Linked DNA regions of Caenorhabditis elegans. The protein of the gene in region 2 interacts with the protein of the main gene of each other region in a pairwise test. Each region holds a gene or a part of one and is shown on either strand. Other genes may lie near its edges.

Evidence for each region.
Region 1: the proteins of rps-27A (region 2) and Y105E8A.11 interact in a two-hybrid assay, tested with the Caenorhabditis elegans proteins (one large-scale study listed by BioGRID).

Annotation. Positions count from the first base shown.
Region 1 is NC_003279.8:14,429,988-14,436,561, forward strand, and holds Y105E8A.11 (BolA-like protein 3), read left to right. Parts: upstream 1-2,803; 5' UTR 2,804-2,805; coding exon 2,806-2,977; intron 2,978-3,534; coding exon 3,535-3,683; 3' UTR 3,684-3,763; downstream 3,764-6,574. Other genes in the region: hpo-13 (Non-lysosomal glucosylceramidase), read left to right, coding at 1-447, 1,432-1,696.
Region 2 is NC_003281.10:3,065,390-3,071,723, reverse strand, and holds rps-27A (Ubiquitin-like protein 1), read right to left. Parts: upstream 3,408-6,334; 5' UTR 3,390-3,407; coding exon 3,257-3,389; intron 3,239-3,256; exon of another isoform or gene 3,162-3,238; intron 3,151-3,161; coding exon 2,981-3,150; intron 2,919-2,980; exon of another isoform or gene 2,841-2,918; intron 2,752-2,840; coding exon 2,563-2,751; 3' UTR 2,514-2,562; downstream 1-2,513. Other genes in the region: H06I04.3 (Putative rRNA methyltransferase), read right to left, coding at 718-827, 894-1,046, 1,106-1,172.

The DNA.
Region 1 (6,574 bases), on a different chromosome or scaffold from region 2:
CGAAAAAGCGAAAAAGGTATTCATCGACACTCTATGGACAGGAACCTACTTCCGATTCTGTGAGCGATCCCGTAGTAGAGAAACAGTGATGGCTGATCAACTATGTGGTTATTGGTTCCTTCAATCAGTATCTCCTGAACTAGCCGACGAGCTTCTCCCGAATCATATGGTCCGATCAGCGTTGGATACGATTTATCGATTGAATGTGTGTAAATTTGGAAACGGACGAATGGGTGCAGTAAATGGAATGAAACCGTCAGGAGTCGTAGATCGGGAGTACATTCAGGCTGATGAAATGTGGACGGGTGTTACTTATGCAGTTGCATCGTTACTTATTCAACAGGGAGAAGTGGAAAAGGCGTTTCATACGGCGTCGGGGAGTTATCTGACATGTTTTGAGGAGACTGGACTACAATATCAGACGCCTGAAGCACTTTATGAATCGAAGTGAGTGAGATGTTGAAAATTCAAGAAGAAACTATCTAGTTTGTAGTATGGAGCAGTCCTATATGTATATATATATATATATATGTATTTGTATATGTATATGTATATGTATATGTATATGCATATGCATATGTATATGTATATGTATATGTATGTATATGTATATATGTATATGTATATGTATATATGATTACGGGAACACTAAATTCTGAGAATGCGTATATATATATATCTCATAGCGAAAACTACAGTAACTTCTTAATGTCGATTTACGGGCTCGATTTTCGGATTGAATTTTTTTTTCGAGTTTTCGTAAGTCATATTTGATCGTGAAATAAATTATTACCGTAAATCCACATAAGCAGTACAGTAGCATTTTAAAGAATTACTATAGTTGTCGCTACGAGATATTTTTTGCGCGTTAAATGTGTTGTGCAACACGCATATTTAGTGTTCATATAATACGTTTTATAAAACATTAAACGATAAATTTAAATTTCCCGAATTTTGAACTCGAAAAACTGAAAATCGAAAAAATTGTGAGGAAAAGAAATTTGTTGAAAAAAAAAACTGAAATTTGTTTTTTTTAATAGATTTTTCCAAAAAAAAAAAAAAAAAATTTTCCACACATTTCTAAAAAAAATCCCAAAAAAAATTCAAAAATTAGAAAAAAATCCAAAAAAATCAAAAATTATTTTTTCAAACTTCCAAAAATACTCGTAATCCCAAAAAAAAAAGTTTGAAACTTTACAAAAAATTAAAAAAAAACATTAAAACTTTTTTTTTTTTGATTCCAGAAAAATTTGGATATTCAAAAAAGCAAAAATTCATAAAACTAATTCCAAAAAATGGAAATTTATTTTTAAAAATAGAAACAAAAAATTCATATCCAAAAAAACAATAATTTTGGAATTTTTTTTTTATTTCCAAACATTTTTTCTTTAAAAAATCCCAAAAATTAATCCTAAAATATCCGAATTTCAGATTCTACCGAGCCATTGGTTACATGCGTCCTCTATCGATTTGGGCAATGCAATGGTCACTAAAAAAGCATTGTGGAATGAATACGAGTGAAGAAAAATTGCCGAATTTGGTGAAAAATGAAAAAGTTGTTCCGGAATCCGAAGCAGCAATTCAAGTACAGAAACAACGAATATTAGGGGATACAAGTGAAGATGGTTCGAGTTTAGGATATGTTAGTGATTATCATGATGAGAGGAGTATTCCAAAGATTGCTACACTACGATAATTGTACTTTTTAACTGATTTTTTTGGATATTTTCCCGATTTTTTGTATTTTACGTGGTCTTTTATTTTTCGAATTTTCGATTGTGCAATGACGTTTTTACAATGCAATACAAGTATTTTTTTGAAAAATTTTTTCTGATTTTTATATTTTCTGTTGTCCATTTAGGATATCAATTTATGCTATTTGCCTTTTTTTTTTTTTTTGGAAAAAAAATTTGAATTTCTTGAAAAAGTTAGCTAATTACGGTGTTTTTTAGGATGAGCTTTTTTTTTTGAAAAATTAAAAACATTTTTTGAATTTTTTCCTCAATTTTTTGAAAATGTTATAGTAATCACGGAAGCTTAAATTTAAAAAAAAACCATTTAGAATTTTTTTTTCACAATTTTGAAACTGATTTTTTTTTTTGAGAAAATTCGCATTTTTTCAACAAAAAAATTCTGAAAAATGTTGACAATCTGTATTTTTAAGCTAATTTTTAAAAGCTTAATAATTGGGAAAAAAATCAAAAAAATTCAATTTCATGTAATGTAAATTATGCATTGCAGGTGACTTTTTGAATGTAAAATTTGAAAAATTTGATTAAAAAAAGTTTTTTTTGAATATTTCGCTAAAGGAATACTTTCTAATTAACTAGATAAATATTTTAACTTTTAAAGCATTTTCTGGTAATTTTTTGGAATTTTCAAATATTACGAATTTTTGTCGAAGTTGAATTCTAGAAAATCTTTAAAAAAGTTTGAATTTTTTGAAAATTTTTTCGAAAAAAAAAAATTTAATTACTTTTTTGAAAAATAGAACAAATGTAACATTTATTATATAATATATAATAGTATATAATAATATAATAATATTTAATAATATATAAAATATATAATAATAATATATAATAGAACATTTATTGATTTTTTTTCGAAAATTTCAATTTTTTTTCTAATTTTTAAACTAAAAAAGCTAAAATTACGAATTTTCGGCATTTTTCAGAATTTATAAAAACCTCGAGAATTTGAAAAAATAACAAATTTTTTGTTTAAATGTGAAATTTCTTGTTTTTTTTTCTCTCCAAATCTGAAAAAAATCGAAAAAAAAGCTATCATTTCTCGAAATTTCAGATGCTCCGCCTTGCCACCCCACTGAGATCAGGCCTCCTCTCCTCAGCAATCAGGCGTCACTCGGCATGTTGTGGTGGAGAGCACAAAATGTCAGAAGCCGAGCTGAAAATGAGCAAGTTGCTCACTGAGGGAATTGATGGATGTACTCGTGTCGAGGTTCACGATGTTTCTAGTGAGTACGCTACAAACTACAATAGGCATACTACAGACTACAAAATATACACTACAAACTACAATAATCACACTACAAACTACAATAGACATACTATAAACTAGTATAATCAGACTAATATTTGTAGTTTGTAGTCTATACGTGGGGTATTCATTCATGATTTTTTTGTTCCGCTCACAAAATTAATGGTAGAAATAATGAAAAACAAGTTAGTTACTGTATACTATAAACTACAAACTACAAACTACGAAATATAAACTGCAAGCCAAACACTACAAACTATAAACTATACACTACAAACTATAAAATGTACACTATAAATTCCAAATTATACAACACTAACTACAAACCATACACTACAAACTACAAAATATATCCACAAACTACTATCTATACACTACAAACTACAAATTGTATACGACCAACTACAAGCTAAACACTACAAACTATAAAATGTACACTATAAATTCCAAACTATACAAAACTAACTACAAACTCCAAAATATACCCTACAAACTACAAACTATACACTACAAACTACAAGCTCCATATTACAGATGGCTGCGGATCAATGTTCGACGTGGTCGTTGAAGCCGCCGGTTTCAAGGGAAAATCGAAAGTTGCTCAACACAAACAGGTCACCTCCATTCTCCGGGAGCAGATTAAGGATATGCATGGGCTCACGATCAAGACAAAAGCCGCCTAGATACTAATTATCGATTTTTTTTGTCTAGTTATTGATTAGTTCAAAGGACATAATATCGTAAAGAATATTTTAAATTCGAACTTTTTGAATATTGTAGATCTCTTTTTTTGCAAAAAAATCGAAATTCGCGCGCGCTAATCAGGAGATCATTTACCAATGGATTCGATGCACATGAGATAAAATATTGGGAGAAAGGGGAAAATATCTGAAAAATGGGTTAGAAATGGCTGAAAATTACGAAAAATCGATAGTCGATGCACCATGACGCCAGTTTTTTTGCTGAATTTTGCGAAATATAGGCCTGAATTGTGTGAAGTCTTAAAAAGGGCGGACTAGAAGATAAGCCTGTAAATTTCGATCTGAACAAAAAATAGTCAGAATATAATAGTTCTAAGAATGTTTAATACTGTTTTTGTACAACATTATGTATTTAGTTTATCCATGTCTTTATACAATACAACTCTTATTTTATTTCATCACGAGTTTAATCGGTAATAAATCAAATCAATAGAATTATTTTATTAATAGAATAAAGGTATAGGATGTAACTGCCACTCACGCACACTGATCGATCTTATAAGGGTTTATTAAGTAAAAGGGAACAGACGAATTGCATCGTCGAAACAGAGTAAACGAGAGAAAAGGGAAAACGACAAGTAACGGGTCAAAGAGTTAAGAAATGATGACAAATGAGCGTCCTCCTCTCCTTATATAGGCATTTCCGGGTTAAAGGCGCAGCCTTTAACGACGACGGGTCTCGACGCGACAATGCGACCAACGACAGCTTGGCGGCGGTTTGAACTGGAGTTTCTCCTCCACACGAATTGTCCTCGCTGTAGAAATCGTTGTCCTTGACCGATTTCGTCCGTTCTTTCTGTAAATTATCAGAGAGAATTTACAGGCAAATAAATTAGTATTTATTTATGTAAAATGTGAAGTGAAAAGGGTGGGTATCCTTACAATAGTATCAAAATTAAAACTGCACAGACATTTGCATTAAAATCCTCCGAACATTGATGTTTATGTCAATTGTTGCGAGTTTTCCGTCAAAACCTTCAATAGATATTTGATTCTCAATAACTCCATTGATTCGCTTGAAAGACAATTTTCCTTTGTACTTGATACCACTGAATACTTTTTGAATATACTTTTTCAATTTCAAGTGTCTAGTTTCAATGAGAGCCTCGAAAAGTTTCATCCTTGGGTTTGATCCATGAATCCAGTGTTTGAAGAACTCATTTAAGAGATGGGCTTTAATTTGGTAGTTTAGTTTTATAATAGTGGAGTTTGTAATCCATAATAACGAAGTTTCCATTCTAAGGAACTCTACACAATCGTGATTTTCCAATAATACCTTCCGCATGTGAGAATTGCTGTCATAAGAAGTATCCCTGCACTTGATATGTATCTTCTGGACAGTATCTAGAAAATTTCCGAATTCTCGTTTCCAGACAAAGTAGGGAAGGGGTCTACATAAAGATAATTCGAATACTTCTATCTTAATCCCATCAAATGCTGGATAAATCGATTCCGATCTAGGCTCGCCGGGATTTAGCTTTTGAATCTTTGATAGATGAAATAATGCTTGGAAATGATTAATGAGCACTTTTAATTCAATTTTTAGAGTTTTCCATTTTTCAGACAGACGTCGAACTTAATCCATTTGGGTAGCGTATTGAGAAAGTATTTGAAAGTTTTTCAGTGATTCCGTCTTCATCAAGTCGCTCATCAGCATAGAAAAAAGCAACACTTCCGTCTGCTAATCTGACAGTAATGTGGATAATCGGTTCCACTCTCGGGACAAATATCACGTTTATACTGGATCCTTTCATATTCTGAGCTATTGCCAGATTTTTGCACTTTTGTGAGACGAATGAGAAGTAGAATCTGCAAAAGAATTTGGGATCAAAAAATTGATAATCGAAAGGGGAAAAAATGGCTTACAAATCCACGCGATCCATGATTTGTAGTGCATTTTGTAGAGATTTTGGGGGTAAACGGAGAATTGGAAATGGAGACGAGGTAGGGGTAGCCATAGGAAAACATAATGAGGACACCTGCTGCCGGATAATCGGCAAGATACGTTAATTAGAGCTGGGCGTGTGTGCAGGTTTGCTCACATTGAGCAAGGCATTGGAAGCAGCTTGTAATTACTTACGACGGATTTTTCGTCGAGCTCGGAGTATTTGCACACTAGATGGCTGAAAAAAAATTTGGGCAAAAATAAAAAGTTGTCTAAATTTGTTGAAAACGGGTAATTCATGTATGTTGAATTCAGAAAATCTAGGTTTAACCCATGAAAAACCATTAGAAAGTGGCAAAAATGAGCAATTTATGGCAAAAATTCACAACTTTGAAACACATCTAAAATGGGCAATTTTGTAGTTAGAGGACTCAAAATTGATCTGTAAACACTGAAAATTTCCTTTTTTATAGTATATAGTGGTTTTGAACATTTTTAGAAAAATTATTTTTTGCCCAAAATAAAAAAAAAGGACAGATGGCTGAAAAATCAAAATGGGCAAAAATAAAAAGTTGTCTAAATTTGTTGAAAACGGGTAATTTATATATGTAGAATTCAGAAAATCTAGGTTTAGTCCGTCAAAAACTATTAAAAAGTGGCAAAAATGGCCAATTTCTGGCAAAAAATCACAACTTTGAAACTCCTCTAAAATGGGCAATTTTGCAGTAAGAGGACTCAAAATTGATCTGTAAACACTGAAAAATTGCCCCTTTTCAGAATATAGTGGCCTTGAACATTTTCAGGACAATTATTTTTTTGCCCAAAATAAAAAAAAGGACAGTCATTAGATGGCTGAAAAATCAAAACGGGCAAAAATAAAAAGTTGTCTAAATTTGTTGAAAACGGGTAATTTATATATGTAGAATTC
Region 2 (6,334 bases):
CATGAAAAACCTGAGATTTTAGCTCAAAATTCCGGTATTTTTTGGCAAAATTGAACAAAAATCTACACTTTTACGATAATATTCTCGAAAAAGTTGAGTTTTTCCTCGAAATTCGAGATAAATCGCTTGAAAATCTAGATTTTTAGCTCAAAAATAGGTTTTTTCAGGCTAAATTGAACAAAAATCGACATTTTCACGGGAAAATCGATATATTTTCGATAAAAATAAGATTTTTAGCTCAAAATACAAGATTTTTCGGCGAAAATCGATAATTTTATTCGAAATTTGATAAAAATCGGCCAAAATTTAAAGTTATTAGGCTTTTACCTAAATTTTGTTGAAAATGTTGGAATTTTAGCTAAAAATTCAGCTTTTTTTCGGCCAAATTGGACAAAAATTGAGATTTGCACAAATTTGTGAGATTTTTAGCTCAAAATCAAGGTTTTTTGGTTTTTTTTATTCAAAATTACCAGATTTTTGGGATTATTTTTGCCAAAAAATTGCAAAAAAAGGTATTTTAACTCAAAATTAAGGTTTTTCTGAATTTTCAGTGAAAAAATGCCTGAAAATCTCGAATTTTAGCTCAATTTCCACAATTTCGTGGAGAAAGGCAAGAAAATCCTCGAATTTCTCGAATTTCATCTCAAATTCAAGCTTTTATCTCGATTTTTCCCGATTTTCAGCCATTTTCCATCATTTTTCAGCCGAAAAACGTACACTCCATGTCTTCAACTCCTTTTTAATGGCCGCACGAGTCTCATTCGTCGTAATATCACCCTGCAGAGCGATACAGTTCTTGATTGGCTTGATCGGTGCCAAATCGACTCCTGAAAATGGATTTTTTTGGGTTTTTTGCCGGATTTTCGCTAAAAAACGCGAATTTTCAGTCTTACCAACGATTAAACTGGAGACTGGCATGAATTGAGACGCTACTTGCATCCATCCTCCCGGCGCTGCACAAAGATCGACCGTCGCACGGGATTTTTCCAAAAATTCGAATCTTTTGTTGAGTTGGACCAATTTGAACGCGGCACGTGATCGGTATCCTGGAAATTATCGATTTTTTTTTTGATTTTTCAATGAAAAATTCTTTTAAAAAACTCACCAGCTTCCTTGGCAAGCTTGTAATACTTATCACGACGCTGTTTTCCAATTTTAACCTTCTTTCCCATGTTTAGTTTGGAAGGTTTTGTGTGTTACCCTGAAAAAAGTGATGAAAATTGAAGATTTTAGTGAGAAAAACGACAAGAATCAACGGAAAACAAGATATTTGAGCCTAAAATGTTATTTTTTCGAAAAAAAAAGAAGTTACAGCACGGTTCCAAGGGGTTTTTGCACAGAAAACTGAAGTTTCAGGGGGAAAATTTTATTTCTTCAATTTAAAACTGTTTATTTTCATTTTTCATGCGAAAAAAACCGAGAAAATCCAGATTTTCGTCGAAAAATCGAACATTTTAGGCGAAAAAATAAATGCGCTAAACAACACGCACCGGCGGAATATCGGAGTGTCGTTAATTCTAATGCGCGGGAATTGGAATCGGAATATTCACAATTTTGCATTATAATCGGAAAATTTTGCTCAGCAAAGCTAGAAATTTGCTCAAATAAATTACGCGGAAAACGGGTAGCCTCGTTTTTATGTCTGAAATTCTTTAATTTCTTGGAAAAAATAACTATTTCTATTTTATAAAATAGACTTTAGCGAGGAATTTAAAATTTTTTTCAAATTTTTCAAAATAAAAAATGGGTGGATGCTTGAGAAAAGGAAAGAAGGGACCTAAGGGTAGCATTTTAATTTGAAAAATTAAGTTTTAAGCAAAATTTTCAGCTTTTTGAGCGAAATTTTGAGATTTTTGAGACAATTTCTTTTTAAGAGGAATTTCCAACGTTTAAAGCGGAATTTAGAGCTTTTCAAGCCAATTTCTAGCTTTTGAAGCCGAGTTTTAGCAGTTTAAGCGGAATTTTCAGCTTTTCGAGCCAATTTCCAGCTTATAAAGCCGAATTTTAGCAATTTAAGCGGAATTTTCAGCTTTGAAAGCGGAATTTTTGAGCGTTTTAAGTTAATTCCCAGCTTTTTTCAGAGAAATGTTGGATATTTTGAGCCAAATACCAGCTTTTTAAACGGAATTTTGAGCTTTTTGAGGTGATTTTTTAGCTTTTTGAGCAAATATCCAGCTTTATGCAAAATTTCACTGCTTTTGGCCGATTTCTAGCTTTTTACGCGAAAAATGCAACAACGAGAGGTTTAGCGTTCAGAAAAGACATTTTGAACGAAAAATCCTAGGAATTTGGCGGGAATTCAATCCTCAATTCAAGGGTATCCTGGTCATGACCGGGCATCTCTTGCTATTTGAGAAGGCGGACACGTGAGATCTTGTTTTTTTCCAAAGTTATGACATCATAATTAAGTCATTGGTTAATTATTTTCTGGAGAATATTCAAATTCTGAAACAAATAATTCCTCCGATGTGTTACGAATAAACTTTTCTCCCGAAGAACATATAGCAAGAATATCAAAAATCAACATTTATTTTGATTGAAGGTTAAAAATTGGACAACAGTCTACTTCTTTCCCTTCTTTCCTCCCTTCTCGCCAGAGGTGGCAGCGGCAGTGGCGGTGTCAACGACGAGGGTGTCGTGGCATCTTCCGCAGTAGTGTCTGTTGGCGTGTTGAGCCATGAAGACTCCTCCTCCGCATGATGGTTGTTGGCACTCCTTGCGAAGACGGGTGATCTTGCCGTTCTCGTCGATCTGGAAATATATGATAATAATGGCCAGTAAAATATGAAAATTGGTTATCAGAAAATATCTACTCTGCTAATCTGCCTAGAAGATTTGAAAAGATTCAGGAACTCTAAACATCATCACGGAACTCTCAGAGGTCCTGACACCATATCAAAAATTCTTCATCATCATCGTTTCAAACTTTTTAGGCAGAGCTGGAGCAAGATATTTCTCACGAATTCGAAACTCTGCTTACCTTGTAGTACTTAAGGACGGCGAGCTTGACCTTCTTTGGCTTTCTCTTGTTCTTCTTTGGGGTGGTGTAGACCTTCTTCTTTCTCTTCTTGGCTCCTCCGAGAAGCTCAAGGTTGACGTAGATGGTGGCCTCAGAGTCGATTCCGCAATCGCTATCCTCGAGCTGACGTCCTTAACAGGTAAAAATCAAGAATGTGTACGGCAGGGTCTGTCCTCAAAGCGACCCGACGAGTGTCAGGAAATCGCTTCTCGAGATTCTGCGTGAAACGAAACGAACCGGCGTAGCAGAGTCTCTGCTCTTCGGCTGGAATTCCCTCGGCGGCCTCGATTTTTTGCTTGATGCTCAAGACATCCTCGTTGGCGGCGACCTCGAGGAACAAGGTTCTGTGGAGTGTCTTAACGAAGACCATGCTTGACTGACCCTAGTTCTGCAAAAAACAACAATAAATTGAGAGAAAAAAGGGGATTCAATAGAGAAAAATTGGACAAGATAGGAAAATCGATCAATTTTAACAGCAAAAACCAAAAAAAAATCAGAAAATTTAGGCCAAAACGCGAGAATAAAATCGAAAAAGTGTTGAAAAATAGAGAAAGTCGTCCTAAAATCCCCCGCCTACCGTATAACCTGCACTTCTAAGTAGTGCGGTGGGGCGCGCTTGCATTAAAATTGCGCGGCTTAAAAAAAATTTCAAGCGAATTTCGAGGTTTTCGGATGTGAATTTTCAGATTTTCAGGTTTCAGAAGTGGAAAATGATGACAAAATGTTAAAAATTTGAAAATTGAACGAAAAAGCTCCAGTTTCAGGTGGTTTTTGGTGAAAAAATGGTAAAAATCGAGTGAAAACGTTCAAATTCCAGATGAAACTTCATTGAATTTTACAATTTCTCCACAAAAAGCCACTTGGATATTGAGATTTACAGTGGTTAAAAAGGTGAAAAACCTGAAAATGGAAAGATTTCCGAATGGTTTTTCACGGCAAATGTTTAAAATTCACTAAAAAATTCAAAATTCAAGCTAGAATTTGGGAATTTTTCAGAAAAAATGTGCCGAAAACCCTTGTTTTTTCAGTTATAATCTCAAAAATCTGGAAGAAAAAATGTTGTCCCTTGTTTTTCGGTTTTCCCCGCGTCGAGTCGTCTTGAATTGCTCCGAGCCACCCTCCCAGACAACGAGAAATGTAATATTCTCAGTGGTGTGCTGTGCTCCCCGTCGCTCGCGTGAGTGAGCTCGAATCGATTCGACGCCGTGCTCCGAATTCTCAATTAACTCATGCAATTGTTTATGGGTGCTCTCGAGCCTAATTGCTCTTTTTTTCCCGACTTTTGGCCGTTTCGGAAAGGAAAAAGAATGCTTTTTTTTTCAAATTTCCTTCTGAAATTCTCCAAAAAAATCCCCACTGAACACCAAATATATATGTGCAATTGTTATGGACAAATGGACGAATGTCACCCATTTCTTGGGCACCCTTGGGACTATTTCAAAGTGGCTTCTGAGCAAAAAACAATGGAATTTTCATGCATTTTATATTTGAAGAGTAGTTTAACATTGAGTTTAAGGTCTGGAAAGTTGAGAAATTCGTAAAAAATCAATAATTTACCTTTTTCCAGGAATTGTTCAAAGTTTTTGAAAATTCCGCCTGGCGATTTTTGTAGAATATTAAAAATGAAGTATATTGATAGTTGAAAATTTTTTGATAGCTCTCACCGATTTGGAGATACTGACGGTTAAAGATTTTCGCAGAGAAATAGTGTGGAAGGAGGAGAGACGCAGACAGCGCGTGCCGTCTGCGTCTCTCCCCCTCCCACACTCTCTAGCGCCTCTAACTTTGAGCGCTTGTATCTCAGTGAGAAGAGGAGATATCAAAAAGTTTCCAACTAACAAAATATAGGAAATTTTAAGTGCTATAATTCGCTAATTGAAAATTTTTTTGATCGGTGCTCTCCGCCGAGTTACAGTACATTTATTTTTCCACTTTTAACATTTTAAAGGGAGGCTCATTTATACAGAATGGTCTTGCCGCGCGTTTAGTCATCATATTAAGTAGTTTCTGTGTAAAAATATCGCGTAGATCACAATTAACTTGTGGAAAAGCTACAGAAATACGAAATAAGTGATTCATATACTGTTATCTACACAAATTTCACACAGAAACTGCTTAAAATGATGACTAAACGCGCGTCAAGACCATTCTGTATAAATGAGCCTCCCTTTAAAATGGTTGGAGTGGAAAAATATGCACTGTATCTCCGCGCAGAGAGAAGCTATCAAAAATTGTTAACTCACAAAATATAGGAAATTTTAAGGTCTACATTTTGTTAGTTAACAACTTTTTGATTGCTCTTTTCCACGCGGAGATACAAGCGCCCAAAGTAGATGAGGCAAGATAGTGTGGAAGGGGAGAGACGCAGGCCGCGCGCGCTGTCTGCGTCTCCCCTCCACCCACACTCTCTAGCCCCATTTTTTCAATCGCTTGTATCTCAGCGCAGAAAATAGCTATCGAAAAGTTTTCAACTAACAAAATATAGTAAATTTCGAAAGGAAACTGTACCTATTAGTCAACACAAACCCCGTAGACTTTTGAACTTTACTGCGTCTCTCATCTCTCTCTCTCTCTCTCTCTCTCTCTCTCTCTCTCTCTCTCTCTCTCTCTCTCTCCGTCGTTTTCTCAAGTGATATTTACTGGTCATCAAGAAGAAGGGGGGCAAGCAGTGATTACACTTCCTTCTTCTTCTTCAACTCTCTGCGTCTCTCCACTCTCTCGGTTTTTTCAAACAATTTCTCTTTTCTTGCCCGTTGCTTGATGTCATCTTATTGAAGGAGCTGCTTCTTGAGAAATCTTTCTTCATTTTTTTTCAATAAATGTGTCGAAACTTCTACCTGTTTGATAATAGAGGAATTTTTTATTTCAAAAAAATAGGATTCCAAAAAAAAATCTTGAAATTCTCTACATACATTTTGTTAATTTTCATAGTTGCAAAATTACAGCGATTTGAAATTAGAGAGACGAGAGAGTATTGAGTGGGGAGAGACGCAGACATCGAGGGAGCCTGCGTCTCTCCCCCTTCCACACTCTCTCACCCCACTAACTTTGAGCGCTTGTATCTCCAACTAACAAAATATAGGGAATTTCAAGGGCTTTAATTTGTTAGTTGACAATTTTATGATAGCTCTCATAGTTTTTGAGTTATACTTTGTTTAACATTGATGTGATATCTTTTCAGTTGTTGACGATTTCAGTTTGTTAATAATTCGTATTGATTTAGTTTCAGTTCAGACTGATAACAAATTATCTTCTGACTAGTTATGGCTTAACAAAGCTAAATTCTCCGTGAGAGAGTGTGGGAGGGGGAAAGAC